7 linked regions of the Sus scrofa genome follow. The protein of the gene in region 3 purifies or fractionates together with the protein of the main gene of each other region. This does not show direct contact. Links are inferred from orthologs where the notes say so. Each region holds a gene or a part of one and is shown on either strand. Other genes may lie near its edges. The genes, in order: MED12L, CDK8, MED19, POLR2F, CDK19, MED9 and RPAP2.

Region 1 (3,500 bases), on a different chromosome or scaffold from region 3:
AATCTTGTCAAAAGATAGGGATGCACCTCCCCCAAGGCAGGTAAACGGGGAAAGGTAGTTAGCAAAATGCACAAAGTATCATGGAGCTGACATTCTGGTATCAGGCAAATAAAAATAAGTGGAACAAGCGGCATGAACCAGGGGACAGACAATGACTGGTCCTACTTTTAGAGCATGAGGGAGTGGGATGGCGCACCTAGGGAAGTGACATCTGAGCAGAGACCTGAGGAAGTGAAGGAGCTGCCCTGGGAGGGGAGAAAAGATTCTAAGACTCTGCAGTGAGAATTTGCTTGGCAAGTTCATGGAACAGCAACATGGCCACTGTGAAAAGAGTAGAATGAGCAGACCCATGACTGCCAGGAAACCAGGTAGAGGTTGGAGCTGGTGCCAAATTGTGGAGGGGCTTATAGGCTCAGACTGGGAATTATTATTCTAGGAATAGTAAGAAACACTGCAGCATTTGGAGCACTGGAAAAATTTGTGATTTACACTTAAAAACAATCATTCTGCCTACTATATAGAGAATAGATTTCACATATCCAGAAGGTAGCAGATGACAAGAGATCCCCAAGAAGTTAAGTATCTTGTTCGTGTTCATCCAGAACTGTTCAAGGAAAAGACACTGTGTCACTGAAATCATAGTCCCACATAGACTCCATTAGGCTCTACAGCTGGATAAAACATGCCAGATGACCAATCTATCCACTCTGCTCCATTCTATACTTTCAAATTCCAATTTGATCACTCAGTTTCCTTGTGGTACACAGAATACCTGTGCTCTAAATCGTAATCAGAACTGTGGATGGTGCAAAGGCAAAATTCAAAAAGTCTTTGAAAATGAACCAGAATGGCTTCTGATTCATAAATGAGTATCTTGTACACTTGACCAGCAACAGTCTGGCTCTAGCAGTAAAATTAAGATGAGTTTCTGAACTTACAGAGCTCACTCTGAGACCCTTCCTGATAAGTGGAAGCCCAACGGAGGACCTGGCAAGAGGTCCTTTTGTCTTACTGCCAGGCCTCCTTCAATATTGATTCCTCTAGGACCTTTCCCAGGAGGCAGGGGCAGGAGAGGAGCAACAACTTTGTAACAAAGTTATGTGCAATATGCAGAATGTTACTTGTATACAGACATTTATCCAACACATAATTAATATTATACTGCTATTCATCTCATGGTGATAAGAACACAGGTAGGAGAACAGGGTGGGAATTGTTTTCCTGCATCTAAGCAAAACACATTGCACTCTTATGAGTTTAATGTCAGTTTGTTTGAAAGGAAAACAAATGAATGCCATTAGAACCATACTTGCCTGGCTTAGTATTCTACTGCACTTTACCTGGTTAACTTGATTCTGCAGCGATGTTAGGAGGCCTTCTCGTTGTTCATCCTGTCCCTTCAGGCAGGTAAGGACCAGTGAGAGGAATGGTTGTTGACTCAAAAGAGACATACTACGAAGGAAGTAATAACAGGAGATCTAGTTAGAAAGAATGGATTACTTTCTGTGCAACACTTATTTCTTGCCCTCGCGTTATCGGCTCTTATTTATTTTACTATTAGAAAAGGGAGGGGAGTAGTAAATAGCCAAGACTACTTGAAAAGTTAAATCATATCTCTAACTAATAAGATTAAAAAGCCACTGTAATGCTTCTAGATTTAATATGTTTTCTTGCCCTGAAAGGCATTTCCAAATTAGCATAAATTCATACCACATATGAGTGCGTATGGGGGGAGGGGGAACAAGAAGAAGAGACTTTGCAGTTTCTATCAGTAAACTGAATTAAAAGATACACATCAGGAGGAATATCACTTCATACACAGAAAAATGAAAAAATTTTAAATTTCTGTCACTTAGTATTACTATTTTAGGGTCCAGGAAATAGGCCTTATATGATTTCTGTGCTTATTTATTTATTTATTTATTTATAGCACATTTCTCAAGACCAAATAGCTGGGTATTGGTAGAGCTAAAATTAGCATCTACTCCTCCAAGGAGGACTCCAAACCAGTATGCTTGCTAGTGATCCCCAGTACTCTGCCACATCCCACAGGCTTAACGTGTAAAGGAGTTTAAAGACATTTGGGGGGAAAAACTCCATTTTAAATTGGCATTTTAGCATTTTTTTCTTCCATGATCAGGAACAACTGACAAATCATGCTGATAAACTAATTTTGCTACACTGGAAAAGAAAATTCCTTAAAATGAGATGGAGGTCATAATGTTTCAATCTGCTTCATCTTACACCAGCATAGCCAAGAGAGATTAGCTTGGGAAGAGCCATCTTTAAACTCTGCAATTCCATCTGCTCTCCCTGCAGGAAGTGAGGCGAAGTACATGCCATCGCCCATTAGCAGATAAACTTTGAGAATTAAAACTGTGTCACTTCACTGGTTAACAAATATGGGCAAAGATGACAGAACAACCAGATACCAAACAACATACACACAAAGCTATGTCAAATAACAAAATGTACTTTAGTTAAGAGCACAGACTCAGAGGCCAGACCACCTGGGTTTCAATCCCAACTTTACACCTCTTTAGCTATGTGTCCTTGAGAAATTTACTTAACCTTTCAGTGCCTCAGTTTCTTTACCTATAAAAAGGATATAATGAGAGCATCTACCACAATACGATTGCTGTGAGATTTTAAAAGTTCACATATGCATATAATGAGTTTGGTACATAGGTTGACATTTTATAAGGGATCATTAAATGGCAACTACTGAAATACTATTAATTAGGTGACAAGAAATCTGTATGATCGGAATTTTTGTTTTTTAACATTAGAAATTTCTTCTCACTCCTGGTGTGCTAAATTTAACATGCTTTCACATTAGAGCATATTTTTGTTCTTTCTCAGTAACATGGTCAGTTTTCCAAAATAATTATATGAAACATTTTCTAGGGCATAAAATTTTAAAAAAAATTTTTGACTTGGAGGCTTATAAGTTAATGTGTGTGTAGTCTAGAACAAGAGCCCTAAATGTTAAAAATATTAGTAACTATTTCAGGGTCCAGCATGATAGAATTATAAATAATTGCATGAATTTTAAACCTAAGTACCTAAATAATAAGAAAAAAAAAAAAAAAAACAACCTGTTGAATACAGGATGAAGTGGATATCCAAAGCTGATTCAGTAGGTCTGAAGTGGGGCTAAAAAGCCTTTAACAGCACAGCAGTGATTAGGGTACAGAGGCAGAAGGGAGAGCTAGTGTACTGAGTATTATAATGCGAAATCTTTTAGGAAACAGAGCTTTGCCTAATAGAATATTTTCAATTTCATATAAAGATGAAATTTCAGTAGACTCTGGGTACAACAAGGATGTATATCTGTAGGATACTGGATTCTCTCAACTGTTCTTTAAACACTCACATAGAAACACCTATAGCAGCCATACCTTTTCTGTTTTTGTCTGTCTCTCTCCTTTTTGGAAGAAGAACCCAAGTGCTGTCCCTTCTCCAGCTCCTCCCCAGCAGCTTTCAACACTCTTCCCTGC
Region 2 (3,280 bases), on a different chromosome or scaffold from region 3:
CGCGGGAGCCGAGGGCCCCAGCCTCCCACTCAAGGCTGCCCACAGGCCTAACCGCGTCCCTAGCTGCCGTGGTTTCAGACGACAGACGGCACTTCCTGGGCACCTCCTGGACGCTGGGCGCTGAGGCCCACCCGCCCCCACGTGGCTTCCCGCGGCTCGTGCTCCGGAGGAGACGCCAAAGCCAGGCCCTGTCTAGGACCTGACCGAGGCCACCGGGTTAACAGGGGCGCCGTTCGGTCCGACCGTTCCACGCCTGGCTAAGCCTCCTCGACAGAACCGCCTGGCGCTTTGCAGGCCAGCAACCCCCCAGGCCAACGTCTCCCGAGCAGCAGAGGCTGGCGCTGTGCTCCTGCCGCCGCGGCCCCGGGGCCACCACCCCCATGCAGGGCTGCGGGCGGCCGTACCTGATAGTCTGAGGTCATGATGAGTCCGCCTGAGGTAGTGGTAGGAGGAACAACCCGCACTTTCTTCAACGGGGGGCCCTGCGTGTGGCTGCTGTCCTGGTTCCCGGGGTGGCCAGTCCCATTAGTGTGGTTATTGCCCTGCTGCTGCTGCTGGTTCTTCTCAATTTGGTGAAACGGAAAGAGAGAGAGCAACTCAGAGGGGAGCAAACCGCGGCCGCGGCCGCAGAAGGCAGGCGGCACCCCAGCAGAAACGCACGAAGCCGCCCCGCACCCTGACACTTACTTTGTCTCCTTTGTCCTCGGGCTCTTCCTCCGTTAAAAACTCTCTTTTAGGGTACGGGATCTGACAACCGGCAAAAACGCTGACCCAGGAAAGAGAAGAGACAACAACGATTTCCGGCGCGCTGATCAGCGTCTCAAACGCGCTTTCACCGTTCAGACAGCCTCCGCCTCCCTGCCGGTGCAGCCGCGAGGCAGTGCGTGTCTTCTCCCAACCAGTGACTGAACAAAAGCACCGGCACCCCCAGGCACCATCCAAAGGGCCTCGGCTCTCCTTTATGTCGGCACTGCTCCTTCAGCACCACAACCAAGGCAGAGATCGCAGCTGGAATGTCATGACTCAACAAAACTGCATTCTACCCTCCAGACTGCATCCAAAATGCACGAAATGGGAGATCCCACCGTGGCTCGGTGGTTAACCACCCCGACTAGGATCCATGAGGACACGGGTTCAATCCCCGGCCTCGCTCAGTGGGTTAAGGATCTGGCGTTGCTGTGAGCTGTGGTGTAGGTTGCAGATGTGGCTCGGATCCCATGTTGCTGTGGCTGTGGTGCAGGCTGGCAGCTACAGCTCCGACTGGACCCCTAGCCTGGGAACTTCCGTATGCTGCAGGTGCGGCCCTAGAAAAGGCAAAAAGACGGAAAAAAAAAAAAAAAAAAAGAAGGAATGTATGGGGACCACACACTTCTTTGGGGTGGGGCTTGCAACTGGGACACAGAACTAAGTGCAAGCAGTGCGCCGGCTCAGAGCCCCAGGGAGTGCCAGTGCGTGGGAGCAGCCCGCCCTCGACTACCGCCGCCACCGGCCGCGGGCAGCAAGCAGGGCAGCAGCGTCTCTCCGCTGTAAAAGCCTGACGGCTCTCAGTCACCAGCTCGTTTTCTGCTTGTCATAAGGATTTCTTTGAGTCCCCGAACAAGAGCAGCAGCAACCTGGCATTGACAGCTAAAAAAAAGCACGCACCAAGAGCTAGCTCCCTGGCGGCACAGTGGGCTGAGGATGCAGTGCCCGCGCTGCTGTGGCATGGGTTTGAGCCTGGGCCCAGGAATTTTCATATGCCACAGAAGTGGCTTTAAAAAAGAAAAAAAAAAAAAGCACGCACCAAAAAATTCTATTGTGCTGGTGAGTTAATAAACTGATCACTTACTCTGATGTAGGAAGTGGGTCTTCTAAGAAATAGGGATCCTGCATAGCCTGTTCTGAGGTAATTCGCTTTATTGGGTCCATGGTAAGCAATTTCTGAAGCTGAAACCATAAATCATAAAAACATCACTGCATTACTTCTCAAAGTTTTACCTTTTGGCACATTTGTGGGAGGTACACGGTTTTTGATCAATAACACCACAGTTCAGAGGGTTTCATTCCCCCCAGTTAAAAACTAAAAACCTTTCAATTTCATGTAGTCATTCACACGAGTCATTTTAATAATCATCAGCTCACCCGGTTCTCCTATAAGAAGTAACTAAACATACGTCTTCTTACTCTCAACCAAGACCTTTTTCCTACACCATCTGAACTGCCACGTCCAATTTAGAACAGGACCAAAATGCCTGTGTTTTCTACTAAGGGGAAAACATTATACCCCAAAGAATAAACTAGCTACATGTGGCTATTTAGAGTTAAAACCAAATTAATTAAAACCAAGTTAAATTTAAAAAGTCAATTTTTCAGAGTTCCCATGTGGCGCAGTGGAAACAAACCCAACTAGTAGCCATAAGGACACAGGTTCAATCCCTGGCCTTGCTCAGTGGGTGAAGGATCCGGCGTTGCCGTGAGCTGTGGTGTAGGTCGCAGACGCAGCTCGGATCCCGAGATGATGTGGCTGTGGTGGAGGCCGGCGGCTACAGCTCTTATTCAACCCCTAGCCTGGGAACTTCCATAAGCCGCAGTTGTGGCCCTAGAAAAAAATTTTTTTCTTAATTAAAAAAAAAAAAAAAAAGTCAATTTCTCAGTCATATCAGGTGTATTTCCAGAGCTCAGCGGCTACCCTCCCAACAGCACGGCTCTCAGACAGCCATCTCTGGCACTGCCGCCCGGGGCTATGTAAACACGGCACCCGGTACAGAACCTGTGCAGCAAGGCCAGGTGCTATCGGCGGGGACTCTGCAGAGACGCTGCTTGGCCTCAAATCCTGACCTGACATTTATGAGTCGGGTGACTGTGAACAAATTACTTAAGCCCTCTGTAACCCCATTTGCCAAATGGAGCTTAGAAACAGTACCTTTTATCATGTTTCTTTTCAGAATGACGAAAAGCAATTACAGTGGTGCCAGGCGTGGGGAACGCGCTCTCTAGGTGTTGGTATTATTACTGTTGTTGTAATGAGATACCGAAAGGTGAAACTAATGTCAAAATTCAGCACTTTTTCGTTGAAATATGAGGGACTGAGGATTCTAGGAACGAGAGCCTTTAACGTGTGACTTAAGAGGCCCTCTAACAGGTGCGCCCTCAGCCCACCACCTCTGGCCTAACACGCAGCACTTTCAGACTTGAAGCACATCGGAGGCGTCCCCGGAGCACTTCCTAGTGACTCCGGAGCTGCTGAGCAGCACATCTGGGCAGGAGCCAAGCACCTGCACTTGCAGCGTTGCCCAGGTGA
Region 3 (3,500 bases):
CCTATTCTTGGTGGCTCTTTTAATCCTATCACAGGGACCATGCTGGCTGGTTTTCGCCTCCACACTGGCCCGGTAAGTCCCTTCTTGGGGAGGAAGAAGGCAAGTGGGTAGGCCTGAAAGCCTTGGAGGTGGTTTTTCTGCTCACATCTGTTCCTTCCTAAGTTACTGAGCAGAGCAGATGATGCAAGTAGGGGATTTCCTCCCTCTGCTAACCCAGACCGTCCTTTGGTTCCTTCAGTTGCCAGAACAGTGTCGTCTGATGCATATTCAGCCTCCCAAGAAGAAGAATAAGCACAAGCACAAACAGAGCCGTACCCAAGATCCTGTCCCCCCAGGTAAGAAGCAGTTCTCTTCAAAGCCAGAGAACCAGATGTTCTGAATTTGGTTGAATCTTCCTCAGTTAAAAACCCAGTTAAGTTCCTTATGGGCTGAGGACTCCCAAATTCTCCTTTTTAATTAATTAATTTTTACTTATGGCTGTGCCCGTGGCATATGGAAATTCCTAGGCCAGGGATTGAATCCAAGGCACAGCTGTGACCCATACTGCAGCTGGGGCAACCCCAGGTCCTTTAACCAACTGCGCCAGGCTAGGGATCCAAACCAAACCTCTGCAATGACCTGAGCAGCTGCAGTGATTCTTTTTTATTGTTTTCTTCTACAGTATTTTTTTGTCCTTTTTCGGACTGCACCTGCGGCATGTGGACGTTCCCAGGCTGAATCAGAGCTATAGCTGCCAGCCCACAGCACAGCCACAGCAATGCCAGATCCTAGCTGCATCTTTGACCTGTACCACAGCTCACAGCAACGCCAGAACCTTAACCCACTGAGTTAAGGGGCCAGGGATCAAGCTCTCATCTTCATGGATACTAGTTGAGTTTGTAACTGCTACACCACCAGGGGAACTCCGCTGCAGTGATTCCTAACCCAGTGTACCACAGTGGGAACTCCATGAATTCTCCTTGAAGCAGTTGACATAATGGGGTCTTTTGGCCAGATAGGAATTTGGGGCACGGGTTTAAGCGGTGCCTCTGAATCCTTTCTGGTCATTTGAAGAAAAGCCGCCCCCCTTGACTAGGGGTTTTCCTCTAGACTTCAGAGTTCTAGCAGTGGAAGATTTTGACCTCTACAGGTGACAGATGCCTCATATCTCCTACAGAAACACCATCTGATTCAGATCACAAGAAAAAGAAAAAGAAAAAAGAAGAGGATCCTGAACGGAAAAGGAAGAAGAAAGAGAAGAAGAAAAAGAAGGTATAGTAGCGGTCTGTGGCTGCAGCCCAGTGAGTCTCCCCAGGTCACCCCTGTCCTAGGTAGCCTCTTATTTTCTTACTCCTCCTTGTCTTCCCCAGAACCGACACAGTCCAGACCACCCAGGTATGGGCAGCTCTCAAGCCAGCAGCAGCAGCAGCCTCCGCTAACAGAACCAGTATATTCTGCCAGAATGACTTTCCTGCTGACAAAAGCTGCCTTCCGGGCTCATGGTCACTGCCCTGGGAGCACCCCCCCGCCCCACAGCTGGGACAGAAGCCAGCTCCTGCTGTGCTCAGTTAAGATGAACACTTTGTAAGAGAGAAGGGCCATGCTTTTTAAAGCCTCAGCCCAGTTTGCTTTCTCATGGACATTTTTTCCTCTCCTGGGAAGCTTTCTTTTCATCTCTTTTGTGCCATTTGTCTGATTTAGGACTTTATCTGATTTGTTAGGATTTTTATTTTCTTAAAATTGCATTTCTCAAACTGGCTGAAGTGTGGCTGCCTGTTAAGAGGTAAGTGCCTTTCTTCGAGAGTCAGGGTTTAGGCCAAGGCATGCTAAGATCTGAGGGGATTGGGGTCTTGTATTCCATTATCTCATCAGCAGGCAGGGAAACAACCAAAATGAGATTGGGGAACATGGTCCAAAAGTGAAGCAGAGTTTGCTAATACCTTTCCACAGCAGACACATAATTCTGCCCATAATGCTGAGAACCAAGTACCTGGATGATTTTTAGGCTCTGTCTGAAGGAACTGATTTAGGGTTTTAGCCGATTTAATTAGGGTTCAGCTCTATTCTAGGTCAATTTTGTATTATCAACAAGGTTGCTTTTTAGTAAAGCCTATGATTGAATCCGAGCCACAGCTGTAACCTACACAGCAGGATTCTTAACCCATTGTGCCATAGTGGGAACTCCAGCCTATGATTTTTTTGATCATATGATCATGGCAACACCAGATCCTTAACCCACTAAGCGAGGCCAGGGATTGAACCCGAGTCCTCACAGATACTAGTCAGATTTGTTTCTGCTGAGCCACAACGGGAACTCCCAGACTATTTTTTGAAATAAACCTCTGGCAAGCAGAGATACATGCTTCTAAGAACTTTTGACCTGTTTCATTCCATAAGACAAATGAAATCATTTGGCTGATGTGAAAACATTTCTAAGCTTCCAAGACACCAACAAAAAGGCAGCCTTAACTAGTAAAATGTCAAATAAATCCCTTCAGTCTTTGCAGCAGGCCAGGTAACTGGAAAAAAACATCCATGAGATAATCCAAGCTAATGTAGTTGGACTTGAAGTTCATTTTGAAACAGAATAGTTAAAATCTGTTGCTATGGGCCAAGGTTCCTAGGTTGCCAGATGGAAAACTACTCATTCAGCTCATTTTAACCTAGGATTTCAGAGCAAGGACAGCGAGAGGGTTCTGGCCAGTTTTCTGAGATTTCATGTCTGAGGATGCCTATTTAAAATAAGGGCACAGCCTTTTGCTTTTGACAAAGAAACAATATGAGATGTCAGATTAAGTGCCACCATATACCCCTCTGGTCTGTCTGCCTTTAAAAGGCTTTCATACTGTGATGATCCACTGGCTCGCCTTTGGCTACATCCAAAATGAGCTCTCTTTTCCAGAGACAAAATTCTGTATTAAAGAACTGTGGCAAAAATCAAGAGCTCTCTAAGTTTTGAAGTAAGAAGTTTTGGTGGTTACAAAGATTTTTTTTTCTGAAATCTTTAATTAAATCACTGAATTAAAACAGGATCTCTTGTTTTAAGTGGTTATTTTCACTGCTGTCCTGCCTAAAGGTGGGCCAGGACCAGAGAAACTTAGGAGGTTTTCTGTGTAATTTCCCATTAGAGATCATCCACCCTGCCCTAACCACACAAAATAACACAAGTCAGGGGGAGCTGGTTAGATCAGGATTTCTTTTTATTCCTTGTTGGTTTAAAATGGCTAATCAGAATAAAAAATAAAAGGGCCTCTGTCCAGAGGCTGGGGTCTCCCCTATTTAGAGGTTAGAACCCAGGTATCCCCTCTACCCAGCACCATACTGAGGTGGGCTGAGGGGTAACCCCCAAGGGACAATCGGAGGGGCCTAGGCCTGCCACTCCTTCTCTCTTATCCCCAGTTTTTGGCATATGATGAGAAATATTGCTTTTTGGATTCTTATCTCCCAGCCTGGGTTTTAAAAATGATATCAACCATGTTGGTTGGCGGGGGGATGGGGGGGGAGTTTGAGGGGCCAGTTGA
Region 4 (3,500 bases), on a different chromosome or scaffold from region 3:
CAGACCCTCTGAACAGACTCTAAAATAACCTTCCAATTTCGTTACTAAATATTTTGATGTCTGTTACTCCCAAAGCTTGAATACATCCCGAGGGCAGAGAGCGAGTGTTTAACTTTCCCTGTATCCTCTCTCAGCAAGTATACAAACTTCCCCCAAATTTAAAGCTTTCAAGTATGTGGCAAAATGCTTTCCCTTATCTGCTCATGCCTTATTTTTTTCAAGACACAAATAATTCACGAGCATTGACTTATTCAGCCCGACTCCCTGCGTGGCAGCGTGAGAGCAAATGCCCTCAGGGAAGCTGTCTCTCATCCAGCCGCCAGGTGGTGCTCATGAACGGGAGTCAGACTTCACCCAAACCCTATCCCAGAAACGTTTGTTCAGCATCTACTAAGTGCAGACGGCAGGCCCAGTACTGGAGATAAGCTCCAGCTCCGGATGTCCAAGGGCTTACAGCAGCCAGGGAACCATCAGAGAGCATCCTGGCCCTTCATGGGAAGGAGCACTACAGACCCAAATAAGCTGGGCCGAGCTGGGCCTTGCTCCCCAAGAAAAGCAGGAGGCTGGGACTTGACAGTGTCCTGAACGCCTGCCTCCCGATTTTCAAGTGCTCCACATTGTCCAATAACACACGCCCATCTGCTGAACTTGTCACTCACAGCACCAGTGACATCTTTTCCAGCCTTGTGCCCCAAGCTACTGCCATTCCCCCACCACAATCCACACGTGGCAGCCTCCACGTGGAATTTTCCGGGTGCTATTTCTGGCACCTGGGATACTGCCAATCCCACTTCACTCTAATCCAATCTCTTCATGATGCTTCCCTAGTCACCCCTGCCATTACTCCCTGTCTCCTTTTCTGTTTCTTTTCTAAAGCACCAATTCCCATCAGTCCTGGGTCTGGGTACTTGGAGCAGGTCCATCTCCCCATTCAGACTGTAAGCACCTGGCAGACAGGGGGGACTGTGTCTTTTTTTTTTTTTTTTTTTTGCTTTTTAGGGCCGCACCTGCGGCACATGGAGGTTCCCAGGCGAGGGGTCGAATTGGAGCTACAGCTGCCAGCCTACGCCACAGCCACAGCAACGCCAGATCCTTAACCCACTGAGCGAGGCCAAGGATCGAACCCGAAACCTCATGGTTCCTAGGCAGGTTCGTTTCCACTGCGCCACAATGGGAACTCCATGGAGGAGGACTATGTCTTTAATCATTTCTGCAGCCCCAACAGGTGCAAGCACACTATCTTATTCAATGTTGAAAGACTTTAACTTGCAAACAGTCTGTCTGTTTGAAAAATAATCTGCGAACTGTTCTTCCTGCCAGGTCATGGTTAGCAGACGTGAGCACTGCCCAATCACCGCTCTGCAATGATGGAAAGGTCCTCTCTACGCACTACCCCTTACAGTAGCCACAGGGGGCTGCTGGGCACAGGAAATGTGGCTATCGAGACCACCCAAACACTGAGCTTCTATGTAGTTTTACTTAATTCAAAGGTAAATGGCAGACGTAGCCCACGGCGACCATAACCAGTGGTGCGGGCCTAGAGGGTCCTGAACCCAGCAAAACTAAAATCAGCATGCAGCAGAGTGCAGCTCTAACTTCACCCAGAGCAGCAAGGAGGGCCACCGGGCTGGCAGGGGACCTGCTCCTGCCCAGTGGGCGAGGAACAGCACGGCCCACCAGGAAACCCTCATGGTGGTCACCTTCATGCCACAGGACCCGAGTGTCTGAACAGCTGGGGCGGGATGTGCGGACCGAGCATCACCGCTCCTCCAGCACGGGCGGCTCCACACTTCCGGCCCCGGCCCTCCCTTGGAGCCTCTCTCCACTACTCCCTCCTCGAAGCACCCCCTCCTCTAGGTACCCACCATTTCCCACAGCAGCTTGTGAGAAGTTGGGGTACAGCTCCTTCCCTCGGCCTCACATTTCCCCGAGGAGGACCTTCCACGAGAGCAGCAGTGACAGGCCTGCCCCCTCTCTGTCCTCCCCCTTGCTCCTTGCCAGGATGGAGGAGAACTCATCTGACGGGGAGCCTGCGGAGAAAAGCAGGCATCCCTGACCCGGTCTCTTGGAGGGGCCCTGCTTCCTCAAGGCCGCCTGCCTGCAGAGAGGGCACTTTCGGATCTGCTCTCCACGATGCCATGACCTGAACAGGCAGGCTCACCCCTGCAGACACGGCCTCGGGATGCCTGTATCGCCTGTGGCTGGCGGGATGGACACGCAAGCACCACACATTTTGCTCCCCAGCTGTCTATGCGCTGTCTCCCAAGGCCTGTTATTCTTCACCTGGTTTCAAGCTCGGGAGAGGTTTCAAACCCCCAAACCTCCACTGCGACTCTGTGCTTTCACCTCCCTAGCACGGCCTCCACACGAGGGGAGGGCTCTCCCACTCCTCTGGGCCGACCAGAGGCCACGCCGGTCGAAAACCACCTTAGGCCCAGGGGCTGCTGCTGCAGCTCCCCAACTAACCAGCCCACAATGGTCTGCGGCTGACTTTATTTATATTTGCACCCCTAACGGACAGGCAATCATCAAGTGCTGTGTTCTTACGGCTCTCCTTCCACTGCACTGTTATTTGACGTCTCAGATGTTTCTGTCCTACTGCTCCACTGGATCACAAACTCCCGGAGGCCGGGGTCCAGCACAGTGCCCGGCACGCAGGGACAGCACCCCCTGGCTGAGCCTGTGAGAGGAGGGAGGGTCTGTTTTCAGGTGCCAGGCTGGACCGCATCAACAGCTCGGAGGCCCCCCATGGCCTGACCCACAGAAAAGATGGTTTAGAGGTGCACACTCACGCGATCTGAAGGGCTCGGGTGCCCAGCACGCGGGCTCGCTCGTACTTGGTCATATACGGCGTGGTGATTCGCTTCTGGTTGGCCTGCGGCCGCTCTCCAGAAGGGAGGATCTCAACGTTCTCCTGGCCCTCCTGGACACCAAGGCAGAAAAGAGGGACAGTCTCAGAATGCGTCACTGGGGTGAAGGGAGGAGGACAACGACAATGATGACAACGTGCATCACACCACTGCTGGTTACGCACAGCGACCATGCAACTGCCTTAACAGCGCCTCATTTCATCCTCACAATAACCTCAGGAGGTGGCGTCACAGTGCCCATTTGAGAGGCTGGAGAGTGAGCTAACTTGGCCAAAGTCTCAGGCCTAGTGCAAGAGAGGAATCCCGATCGGGATTCCAAAGCCAGCTCCCTCATCCGGAAGAGAGTCGGCCCATACACAGAAGTCCTTGAGCACAGACAACAAACCACCCTAAGCACGAAGGGAACACGCACCCTGTCTTTCTACCTTCCTATATTTAACCATCAAGCATCTGTCACGTGCCAGACACCATAACAGGTACTGAGACAGAAAGCTACAAGTCTGTGCTCTCAAAGAATTCGGTGTGCAGAAAAGATGAAAGTACACAAACTCCAAGGGCTATAAAAGGTGGAAGTGTGACACGGACCTAACAAGAAGGTGAGGGCCGACCACCTCACACTGGGGGTTGGGA
Region 5 (3,500 bases), on a different chromosome or scaffold from region 3:
GAGTTAAAAATGTAAATGACCTTGAGGTGGCACTGGCGGTTTAAGGAAGGACAAATCAGCAAGGCTGTCCCACTCAGTACGCAAAAGGCAGCCAAATCGGACTTGCAACAGATGGTCCAAGAAAACAGAGCAATAAGATAGTCCTGGCTAAAAATAATTCTGTTTAACTCCTTCCTACATAATATAACTCTCCTTAGTTGTACTGTTGTAAGAAGTCTTTCCAAATCCTAACTGGCAGGGGGAGGGAGTGGGATGGATTGGGAGCTTGGGGTTAATAGATGCAAACTATTGCCACTGGAATGGATTAGGAAGGAGATCCTGCTGTGTAGCACTGGGAACTATGTCTAGTCACTTATGATGGAGCATGATAATGTGAGAAAATAGAATGTATGCATGTATGTGTAACTGGGTCACCATGATGCACAGCAGAAAAAAAAAAACTGTATTGGGGAAATAACTATTACAAAAATAATTATAACAAATCCTAACTGCATTTTATTTTATTATGAAAAAAAATGTTCTTTCCATTTACAAGGCCTACAATTGCCAGGCTGGCTACAACTGCTTTGACTTTAGCAGATTAGACTCAGCACGCGAGCTCCTCCATACTGGATAAAGAGCAAGCACGTCAATAATGAGAGTCACCAACAGGTGCAATGGGACTCTCACCCCCTCATTGCTAGTCTCTCCAATTAACTAGCTGACCTAGCTACTCATTTCAGAGACATGCTGTTTTATTTTTAAGTAGACAACTCAGTATGGACAAAGGAAAGCATTTGAAGAACTCTTGGATTTGAAAGGAATAAATAAAGTAGTTAAGTAACCTGTCCACAATTAACTGTAATCAAGTGACTATAACACAATCAGACGCACAAAGATGAGCCAGTATATAGTAAAGGTTTGTGGCTCATATAATAGGAATAAACTACTGTTAGGGGGAACCCGAGTTTAGAGTAAACTTCAAACATGTTCATGATTATTACACAAATAGCAAGCTGTTTTAGTAGATCAAAACTGATGCCTTGATTAGTTTAATTGGAACCAATGAAAGTGCTGTTATATCCTCCTCTGCTCGCAAAGACTCTTCCAGGAGAAGTTTCCAAAGTAGTTGTACAAAAACACATTAGTGTGTTAAGATATTCAGAATGTAAAGCCCATTTAGACAGCTATTTATTATGTCTTTCTTGGTACTGCTTCTCTTGATTCCAGTTCCTAATCAGTGAGTTTATGTCTCCCTTGCCTGTGGTTTTGTTTCCTATTATCTCTCTCCTAAGTGCTCCTCCTCCACCAGTTCCCTGAGGGACTATAGTTTTAAACCTTCTTTTTTTTTTTTTTAATCTTTGGTTTTATTCCCCCTTCGTCTTAGATCTTTTCTTAACTTGCTATTACCTTGAAAGCTTTTTCCCCAAGATTCTCTATAGTTTTCACCAGTATTCTTACCCCTCTCTCCAAATACCAATCCTTAGATTTTGTTTCTTTTTATATTTCCTGCATTAGTAGTACAACTATAGTTTTCTTTTTAATCTTAAGAAAAAGTATTTTCTTTTTTGCTTTTTAGGGCCGCACCCACGGCATATGGAGATTCCCAGGCTAGGGGTCGAATCGGAGCTGGAGCCGCTGGCCTACACCACAGTCACAGCAATGAGGGATCTGAGCCGCGTCTGCCACCTACACCACAGCTCTCAGCAATGCCGGATCCTTAACCCACTGAGTGAGGCCAGGGATGGAACCTTCGTCTCATGGATGCCAATCAGATTTGCTTCCGCTGAGCCACATTGGGAACTCCAACAAAAAGTATTTTCTAGTATCAAAATTATTTCTAGTGAGATTTAGCAGTTATTCCTGAGAAGTCTCAATCTCAGTCCCTTTCTCTTCTATATTTCAGTGGCACGTACTGCTTATTTCCTCAGTGACAGCACATCCTTCTGAAGTACACTGCTTACCTCATTCACAATAAACCACCATTCCTTCCCCTTTTCAATTGCTTATCTAAGTATCTTTTTCTGACCCAAACCTGAAAGGCACCTGCAAGTGTGAAATGAGAGATTTTCTTTCAGGAGGAAATGACTGCCTCACCTTCCCTCCTCAGAGCTTTAGGACAAACAAGTCAAGAAACAAAACTATAATTCTTAAAATTACATAAAATGACAAAAATCTTCATTTTCATATAATGCCCTAGAAACAGGATTATACAGTTTATATAGTCAAACTTTAGAGTTAATTTGCTGGTAAATTTTAAAATGATCTATTATAAACCGACTTCCTGTTTCATAAAAGATATTGTTAAAAAAAGAGACATGAGGCTCCAAATGGAGTCACTTGTGCTAAGCCCACGGCACCAAACTGAGACTTAATTCCTAACCTGACTGCAGTTTCAGCCTCCCCCAGGAATGTAATCATATCCAGTTAGTCTGCAATTTCCTGGTCAGCACTAGTGAAGTAATACACCTGACAGGCCCCATAGTCCCCCAAAGGAAAAAAACAATCAGCCCTTTGTTAGAATAACTTCCTTGTCCCACCTCCTTCTGCTTCTAAGAGTCTTCCATTTTCTACGGCTCTTCAGAGAGTCTTTCTATTTGCTAGACGAGATACTGCCTGATACATGAATCACTGAATAAAGCCAATAAGACCTTTAAAATTTACTCAGTTGAATTTTCCTTTTTAACAGTATGAACATTAAAGAGTATAAAATCTGGGGAGGTACCTGATAATCTGACGGCATAACAGGCCCGCCTGAGTTTGTGCCTGAAGGCCCTAGCCGCGGTTTCTTGTTTGGAGGCACCTGATTAAGGCCGGAGTCCTGACTGTGCTGCAGCCCTGCCCCGGCACCCCCGGCCCCGGCCCCAGCCCCTCCTGCCGTCCCGTTGGTCTGGGTGCTGTTCTGCTGCTGTGGGGGTGCCTGTGGGGGGGCTGCTGCCTGCTGTGGAGGGGCTGTGGGCTGCTGATGTTGGTTCTGCTGCTGTTGCTGATTCTTATAAAGAGGAAAAAAAAAGTAAGCTTGGTATGGAACTAAATTAACTCTACCATTATATGATATGATGAGCAACTGGGGAGTGATCTCTGTGGGACACTATAGTGACTGGACCGACCAGAGAATGGAGCGGCCAAGGAATACAGCATCCTCCAAAGTCAAAGTGCTGAGCCCTGAACAGGACTCATTCTCTAAAGTTCATTTAGATTGCATAGTAATCCTCCAAACCAGTCACAGATATCCCACTGAAGGCCCACGGGGACAGAGGAAATAGACAGCAACTCATTAAAATAGCTAGAATAGTCTTTTCAATCAATTTGGAAAAGTAGGGCTGTGTGGAGTGAAGTCAGTTACGATCAAAGGACTGAATGATGCTTTAAAAGCAGCCTGCGTAAAGTGATGGTAATGACACCGAACAAAACAAACAAAAAAGGCAAAAATTAAGAACCAGAGAATGGGAGTTCCCACTGTGGCACAACGAGTTAAGAATCCGACTGCAGTGGCTCAGGTTGCTGGGGAGGCACAGGTT
Region 6 (3,955 bases), on a different chromosome or scaffold from region 3:
CGAGAGAAGATACAATTACTTTATGCTCCATTAGTAAAAAGCAGGCCATAAATAAATACTGGGGAACATATATTTTTTTTAAGTGAAAAGGCTGAGCGGACACTGCGTGAGTGATGTACCGCCTTCTCAGGATGAACCAGCTTCTTTCCTGGGGAGCCCCCACGTCTCTGGGGTGTCAGGTCAGACAGCCTGTCAATCTAGAAGCCGGGGCTGGGTCTCGGGTCTGTCTGAGGACTTGCTCTCAAGCGCTCTTCTTAGGTTGGCCTCTCCCTCCAGCTCCCGAAATGGGCAAGTGTCCCCCCTCCAGAGACCCTGTGCATTATTCTTTCCTAAAAACAAACCTTGGGAAAGTGTGAGCCTTTAATTATCCACCGAGACAGAAGGGGGACCACCTGTGGGCCTGGGGTCTCGAGAGGACTCAGGGGATCCGCTCCTAAACAGCCGTCCAAGCAGCCCTCCCATCCTCAGTCCCGTCACCCTCAATCACCTCTCACCGGAGGCCCTTGGCCCTGCCGCCTCCTGAGATCCGGAAGGGGCCGCGGCCAGAGGCAGCTGCTCCCGGCCGCTTCCTCGGGCTGGGAGGTGGACTAGCCCCCGGCCCCCCCCTACGGCAATCATCCCCTCTCGTGTCCTTTTCAGTTTTACGCTTAAAAGACACTCCTCACTGTCCACTCAGAGGGGACAGAGCAGGTCACACACGGGACGGACACAATGTCTTTCACAGAATGTTCTTGAGAACACCCCACAACAACCTTACGATTTCGGTGTTATTGCTCCCGGTTCACGAGAGAAAAAGATTCAGAGAGGCCGTTTGACCGAGGCCGCCCCACCAGCACACTACAAAGCTACCTCGGAAGCCCTCCTCTGAGGTTCATTGCTATTATTCACCTCTTAGCGACACGAAAAATTACGGCCTAGAAAGGCTCTGTATTTACCAAGATTACAAGGCAAGCAAGCATTAAGACTATCTCATCTCGGAGTTCCCACCGTGGCACAGCGGAAACGAATCCGACGAGAAACCCACTGGCCTCGCTCAGTGGGTTAAGGATCTGTGCCGTGAGCTGCGGTGTAGGTTACAGATGCGGCGCAGATCCTGAGTTGCTGTGGCTGTGGTGTAGGCCGGCGGCTGTAACTCCGATTGGACACCTAGCCTGGGAACCTCCATATGCCACGGGTGTGGCCCTAAAAAGAAAAAAAAAAAAGAGAGAGAGACCATCTCACCTCGCAGCCCATGCTCTCTCTAGTGCACCTCAAGGATCCGTCTTTAAGGCCAGCCCAACCCGAGGGTCCTATCAGGATGCCAGAGTGTGTACACTGTGTGTTTTAATTTTCCAAAAACCAGAACAGATAAATCTGGGTTCATCTGGACAACGCCCTTCCAACCCAGCACCGCCCTGGGACTGCAGGGCGTGCAGGTGGGTTGGGTTTCCTATGTCACTGCTGCCTACGAGTGCTACTTGCTGATCACAGGCTCACGAGAAGAGTCGGCCTCACCAGATAAACAGTATGTTCACACCAAACGAAGCCAAGTTCTAATGTGAGAAAAAAAAAGGCTTTGCAGTTGTCTGAAAAGTGGTGGAAGCGTCAGAGCGTCCCAGGCAGTGACTCTCTTCCACCTAAACTCAAAACAAGCTGGGCCACTGACAACACTTCACTGTTGTGAGCGGCAATTTCATTTCAGCAAAACATCCAAGAGGATGCTGAGGTCCACCTGAGTGTTAGAGCAGAAGGAACATTGTTTTAATTTGCTTTGTTTTGGGTTTTAATGGCTAAACAGACGTGATAAGCTGAGGGGTTTACACCTTGTTACCATGGGGACATAAATAACAGTAAAAACCATTTGGGCAAATGTGGGGACCCTGGCGATTTTGGTGGGGTTTTCCCCCCTCTTTAAGGGTCAGTCTGAAAAACCGGGTCCCCTGAAGACCGGCCTAAAGGAGACATCACCCCTGCGGCATCCTGTTGGGAACTGTGAGTGCGACGGGCTGTCTAGCGGCCATTCCCTGCCATGGCCTTATCATCACCCCTAGAATCTCTTCGCGTTATGGGTTATTCCCGTTCACGACTCTGTTCCTTCTAACTGGTGAGCAACGTGGGCGTGAACCGTATGCCCTTTCAAGTGTACATCCCCTGGCGCTTAGCAGTGTGCCACCCGCGAAACATGACCCACATCTGCTGGAAAAGACACCGAAGCGAGCGTTCTGTCCTTCATTACGTGTGAGAAAACAGCCCCGAGAAGCCTGGCTGGCTCCGGCCACAGGGACGCTGCACCTGTGCACGTGGTGTCCAGGTCGGCTTCGTTTCGAGGACTCCGCCCGGCCAGCACGGGGCCTGGCAGCCCTGAGCTCAGCGTCCGCTCAACTCGGGGGGAGGCTCGCGGTGGTCTTCGCGAGGCCGCCTCCCCGGGACCGGCGGCGCCCCGGAGCTCGGCCCGCGACGGACAGCGGGGGCGCACTCGCGGGCACCCCGGGCTCTTACCACTTGATGACGTTGTGAACCAGCGGGAGGAAGGAGCAGTTCTCCTCCGCCTTCACGACGGCCGGGGACGGAGGCCTCGGCGCGGGCTGCGGCTGCGGCGCGGAGACCGGCGTCGGCAGCTGCGGCGTCGGCAGCGGTTTCGTTTCGGGCATCGGCGGCTCGGTTGGCGGCGGCAGGGCATCCTCGGCCTGCCGGCCGGCGGGCACCCCCACTGAAGCCATGGCGCCCCGCGTTTCCGCGGCGGGTCGGCTGGGCCGCGGCTCAGCGCGCCGAACGCGTCGCGGACTCTGCACGTCACCACCGTGCGCCGCGGGGCGGGACCCAGAGGGAGGCTGGGAGCGCGCGCCCGGGGACGCGGGGCGGGGCCTGGGCGTCCGTTACTAGGCAACGGGCGGCCGGCCGGGCTAGGGTGCCCTGCTTTGGGTTGTGCGTTGAGGCAGCTAAATTGTTAATAGAAATAGATATATGTCAGAAATAACATTTTATTCCTATTCGCGTTACAAAGAGGATCCAAAATCAACAAGTGCGGAAGACTTGAGATAAATAAGGCCTCTTGAAGAGCGGAGGCCCCTGCCCAGCACCTGCTGGGGTCAGGCCCTGGGCCAGCGGGCGTGGAGAGAATCCCGGCGGAGGGACCCACGGTTCCCACCCGCGCAGAGGCCTTCAGGGGAGAGGCCCTGCGCCCGCCCTAAGGACGCAGGAACAAAGAAGCTGCGACGAACTAAGTCAATACTTAATATGCATCTTCTCCATGACTGCTGTACTGCCTGCGGGGAGGGGTGGGAGTTGTCCCAACTTCCACACGAGGCTGAAGGGGGTTAGTGCCAGGAATAAACATGTCCTAGGAGAAGTCAGCGGCACGTACTCTCCTCACCTGTGGGCCCCAGCTCCTTAAGCCTCCAGGGCTCAGCGTCCTCACCCCAAAAGCCTTATATAGTTCAGGAGCCTAAACTGCTTCCCACCTTCCCACACGTGGCCGGCCTCCAAGCTCGCGTTTGCAGGGGCACTCACTCCCTGGGATCTCAGGCCAAAGCCAGGGGAACTCTGGTGGGTTTGTGGTTATGCTCCTCAAGACAAGTCCTCCCTGGCTGTGTAATAAATTCCTGGGCGATGAGAACACACGTTCTGAGCTTCGCTGGTGAGTGGAAGCCCTGCCCTTCCTCAGAGCTTTAGAGACACAAGGAGACTGCAGTCAGGTGCCAAGATGAGAAGCAGCATTGAAGAGCAAGGCGGCCGTCCTAAGGAAAACGTCACTGCAAATATTTCTAGATGCATCCAGAGGGGTCTGTGAAGGCAAGTCCTGGGGAGGCTTGGAGTGGGTGCTTTGGGCCTCAACACTGCTTTCTTGTAAGAACTACCCAGAGAACCCCTGAGGGAGCGCATGGAGGGGGAGGTGAGGACTGCTGCCCAGGGGCCTCTCCGCCCAAAGGAAGTGCCAGGGTCCTGGTGGAGAACCGGAAGGAGGACCAGAGGCACT
Region 7 (3,500 bases), on a different chromosome or scaffold from region 3:
TTATGAAGCTGAGTGACAGAGATTATTGTTTCTCCAAGATTCATATTAAAGTTATGGATGCTATTTATACAGCTAAAGTGATTTCAAATATAGAGCTAGGTTAGGTAACATTCTACAGAAACAGAAGAATTTCTAAATTTTTACTGTATTTCTACTTTCATCCTTTTTTTAAATCTCCAAAGGTGTTCTTAAATTTAGAGCTATTTTTACTCAGAAATCTTTCACAACAAACTCCTGTGGTAAAAACAAGATTATCACCTATTCCTCTTTATGCCAGATGACTTCATTTCCCAAACTACATAACCAACCAAAAATGGGTAATGGAAATAGTGAAGGAACCTCCCTAGCGCTCAGTGGCATAGGTCCATTTCCACATGTAACTGTTTACATGTAACTAGTAGCAATTATATGTGAGGCACTGTGGTAACTGCCTTCTATTCACTACCTTTAAAACGCCTAACAATTGAGCAAGGGAAGCCATTTATAATCCCCTTTACACATAAGCAATGAGACTAAGGTTTCACATAGCTAGGGAGTGGCAGAGCAGATATTCAAATCCAGGTTTACCTGAATCTTCTCCCATGTCCAGTATTTCCCCAATATGTCTCGTCTACTAAATTCTATTCATAAATAATATTTTAAATGGGCACGCTTGCCAAATATTATCCAAATATTTTACTGTTTAACTACTAAGTCTACTCCACTGCATACAGTCCTACTGGAAATGAAACACGAAGATATACACCCTATGTACAAATTCAAAAGTATCCATACCAACAACAACAACAAAAAACAAGCCTTTTCAGAGAGTACAGATATTACACGAAGAACTGGGTTTTAAAGAAAACTTTGTTCCTGGAGTTCCCGTCGTGGTGCTGTGGTTAACGAATCCGACTAGGAACCATGAGGTTGTGGGTTCGATCCCTGCTCTTGCTCAGTGGGTTAACCATCTGGCGTTGCCATGAGCTGTGGTGGTTGCAGACGAGGCTCGGATCCTGCGTTGCGTTGCTGCGGCTCCGGCGTAGGCTGGCAGCTACAGTTCTGATTAGACCCCTAGCCTGGGAACCTCCATATGCCATGGGAGCGGCCCAAGAAATAGCAAAAAGACAAAAAAAAAAAAAAAAAAAAAAAAAAAAAGACAATTCCCCAATTCTAGGCTTCTTCTACGTTAGAGAAAATGTTAAATATTTATGAAAATTTTCTGGGGCAAACTTTAAATAGTATCCATCAGGATGCAGGTTCGAACCCTGGCCTCACTCACTGGGTTAAAGACCCAGCATTGCCGCAAGCTGTGGCGGAGGTCACAGATGTGGCTCGGATCCGCAGTTACTGCGGCTGCGGCTGTGGCGTAGGCCAGCAGCTGCTGTTCTGATTCGACCCCTAGCCCAGGAGCATCCGCATACTGAAGGTGTGGCTGCAAAAAGAAAAAAAAATTAAAAAAAATTTTTTTAAATAAAAAAGACATACCTCTTCTGAGTCTTGTGATTTGGTGGTTTCTTCATTCAAAACATATCGTCCTCTATAAAACTCCCTGATCCTTAGATTTAATGTTTCAGTTTCTTTTTTCAAGTTCTCATAACTTGGCAATGGTTTACTGGCTGTATCTGAGGCTCTAAACGGTAAAGACTCATCCAGGCTGTTCGGAGATTCCTGCAGGGCAGGGGAACGACTCTCTGGGTCAGAGGTTACGTCATCTTCATCAAGTTCTTCTTCTTTAACCAGAGGTGCTGAAGCAGGCTTCAGACATACAGAAGCATAATTCTGGCCATACAAAAACTTCAAGGTTTCTTCTGTCTTCCACTCAACCAAGGTCTCCTTCAGGGCTTTAAGTAAGTTTGCCTTTCCAACTTCAGAGGACACCTGCGCTGAACTAGAAGCTGACCTAGAAACCTGACTTGATTTGGCAAATTTCCTCTTAAAATGCTCAGCACTTTTCTTACTTATGCCTACAAGAGTTATTTTTGAACTACTGCACTTACTTTCAGAAATTTCTGAAGCTTCTAATTTTTCTTGCGAAGGACTATGTGAAGAAATCTGAGTATTTAACTCCTGTAAGGGAGGTTCACAAGCAGAAGCTTTCTCCTGATTCTCTAATCTGCAATGACCTAACTGCTCCGTGGCATCTATTACTATCCGCTCTTCACTTTCATGGTTGGAGTTCACTTTTTGATCAGCTTTCTTTCTCATTATGCTTTTTTTGTGCAGCTGTGGCATTATACCTGCTGCAGTTGGCCTGCTGCCTGGCAGAATGGAGGAAACAAAGTCTGGTTCATTATCACTGCCACTATCACTGGGAGTGCTGGAAGAACCAGATTCATTGTGCTTCTCCGAACAGTCAGGATTGTCAATATCTGATGTCTTAATGGCCTTACTGGATAACTGTATTTCTTCTCCAGAATGACCACTGTTGTAAGGAAAGAAACAAAAACCACTATAACAGAAAAACAAAACGTTCCATGGTATTTATACCTCATAACTTTCAAGGCAGAGATTTGTATTCCTTAGGCAAGGCCTTATTTATAGGCTTATATTCACCTAAGCCTGTAGATACACACGCGCACACACACACACTGCAGAAAAAAGCTGTAATTCTAGAATTTCTCTATGTCTTATTAACTGTATATAGTTCTTCCATCTTCTTCCCTTATCTTTTCTCCCCCATTATTTAAAAACGTTAAGAGTATAGCAAAAAAAAAAAAAAAAACCCCCCAAAACCCGGAGTTTCCATTGTGGCTCAATGGAAATGAATCCAACTAGGAACCATGAGGTTGCGGGTTTGATCCTTGGTCTCGCTCAGTGGGTTAAGGATCTGGCATTGCCATGAGCTGTGGTGTAGGTGGCAGACGGCTCGGATCCTGCATTGCTGTGGCTGTGGTGTAGGCTGGCGGCTCTAGCTCTGTAGACAAAAGATGAAAAAAAAAAAAAAAAAAAAAAAACACCTCCCCAAATCCCTAAACCACACAAATACAAAACCCTACGCTTGATAATTTCATCCTACTAAATTAGATTTTTGCTTCCTTCATTTCTGTAATTATATTACATAATCCCTTTTTTTTTGGCTTTTTAGGGCCACCCCGAGGCATGTGGAGGTTCCCAGGCTAGGGTCCAATCGGAGCTACAGCCACAGCAACACCAGATTCTTAACCCAACTGAGCAAGGCCAGGGATAGAACCTGCAACCCCGTGGTTCCTAGTTGGATTCATTTCCACCGCACCACAACAGGAGCTCCTATAATCCCTTTTTTAAAAAAAATTTCTTTTGAGAGTTCCCTGGTGACCTAGTGGTTAAGGATTCAGCATTGTCACTGCTGTGGCTCAAGTTCAATCCCTGGTGTGGGAATTTCCACAGGCTATGGGCGTGGCCGAAAAATTTTTCTTTTGGAAACTTCATTATTGGTTTCTCAAAAAAAAAAAAAAAAAAAAAAAGGAACTCTGCTTAGATTTTGAAAGACAAAAATAAAATGATGTTTTAAGCATTCCCCAATTCTTTTTTTTGCTCCT

What was found.
Region 1: the proteins of MED19 (region 3) and MED12L purify together in Homo sapiens (affinity purification with mass spectrometry; 3 studies listed by BioGRID and IntAct, counting the BioPlex papers as one, with this or other methods). This does not show direct contact. The link is inferred for Sus scrofa from reciprocal best matches to the Homo sapiens genes MED19 and MED12L.
Region 2: the proteins of MED19 (region 3) and CDK8 purify together in Homo sapiens (affinity purification with mass spectrometry; 8 studies listed by BioGRID and IntAct, counting the BioPlex papers as one, with this or other methods). This does not show direct contact. The link is inferred for Sus scrofa from reciprocal best matches to the Homo sapiens genes MED19 and CDK8.
Region 4: the proteins of MED19 (region 3) and POLR2F purify together in Homo sapiens (affinity purification with mass spectrometry; 3 studies listed by BioGRID and IntAct, with this or other methods). This does not show direct contact. The link is inferred for Sus scrofa from reciprocal best matches to the Homo sapiens genes MED19 and POLR2F.
Region 5: the proteins of MED19 (region 3) and CDK19 purify together in Homo sapiens (affinity purification with mass spectrometry; 7 studies listed by BioGRID and IntAct, counting the BioPlex papers as one, with this or other methods). This does not show direct contact. The link is inferred for Sus scrofa from reciprocal best matches to the Homo sapiens genes MED19 and CDK19.
Region 6: the proteins of MED19 (region 3) and MED9 purify together in Homo sapiens (affinity purification with mass spectrometry; 6 studies listed by BioGRID and IntAct, counting the BioPlex papers as one, with this or other methods). This does not show direct contact. The link is inferred for Sus scrofa from reciprocal best matches to the Homo sapiens genes MED19 and MED9.
Region 7: the proteins of MED19 (region 3) and RPAP2 purify together in Homo sapiens (affinity purification with mass spectrometry; 3 studies listed by BioGRID and IntAct, with this or other methods). This does not show direct contact. The link is inferred for Sus scrofa from reciprocal best matches to the Homo sapiens genes MED19 and RPAP2.

Annotation. Positions count from the first base shown.
Region 1 is NC_010455.5:91,565,088-91,568,587, reverse strand, and holds part of MED12L (mediator of RNA polymerase II transcription subunit 12-like protein), read right to left. Parts: coding exon 3,402-3,500; intron 1,453-3,401; coding exon 1,341-1,452; intron 1-1,340. UniProt on the Homo sapiens protein: May be a component of the Mediator complex, a coactivator involved in the regulated transcription of nearly all RNA polymerase II-dependent genes.
Region 2 is NC_010453.5:4,155,442-4,158,721, reverse strand, and holds part of CDK8 (cyclin-dependent kinase 8), read right to left. Parts: intron 1,927-3,280; coding exon 1,829-1,926; intron 767-1,828; coding exon 688-766; intron 564-687; coding exon 405-563; intron 1-404.
Region 3 is NC_010444.4:13,247,811-13,251,310, forward strand, and holds the end of MED19 (mediator of RNA polymerase II transcription subunit 19), read left to right. Parts: coding exon 1-72; intron 73-238; coding exon 239-335; intron 336-1,156; coding exon 1,157-1,251; intron 1,252-1,349; coding exon 1,350-1,418; 3' UTR 1,419-3,011; downstream 3,012-3,500. UniProt on the Homo sapiens protein: Component of the Mediator complex, a coactivator involved in the regulated transcription of nearly all RNA polymerase II-dependent genes.
Region 4 is NC_010447.5:9,907,722-9,911,221, forward strand, and holds part of POLR2F (DNA-directed RNA polymerases I, II, and III subunit RPABC2), read right to left. Parts: intron 2,924-3,500; coding exon 2,793-2,923; intron 1-2,792. UniProt on the Homo sapiens protein: DNA-dependent RNA polymerase catalyzes the transcription of DNA into RNA using the four ribonucleoside triphosphates as substrates.
Region 5 is NC_010443.5:76,594,477-76,597,976, forward strand, and holds part of CDK19 (cyclin-dependent kinase 19), read right to left. Parts: intron 2,972-3,500; coding exon 2,705-2,971; intron 1-2,704.
Region 6 is NC_010454.4:60,931,200-60,935,154, forward strand, and holds the start of MED9 (mediator of RNA polymerase II transcription subunit 9), read right to left. Parts: upstream 2,801-3,955; 5' UTR 2,700-2,800; coding exon 2,479-2,699; intron 1-2,478.
Region 7 is NC_010446.5:124,739,415-124,742,914, forward strand, and holds part of RPAP2 (putative RNA polymerase II subunit B1 CTD phosphatase RPAP2), read right to left. Parts: intron 2,405-3,500; coding exon 1,468-2,404; intron 1-1,467.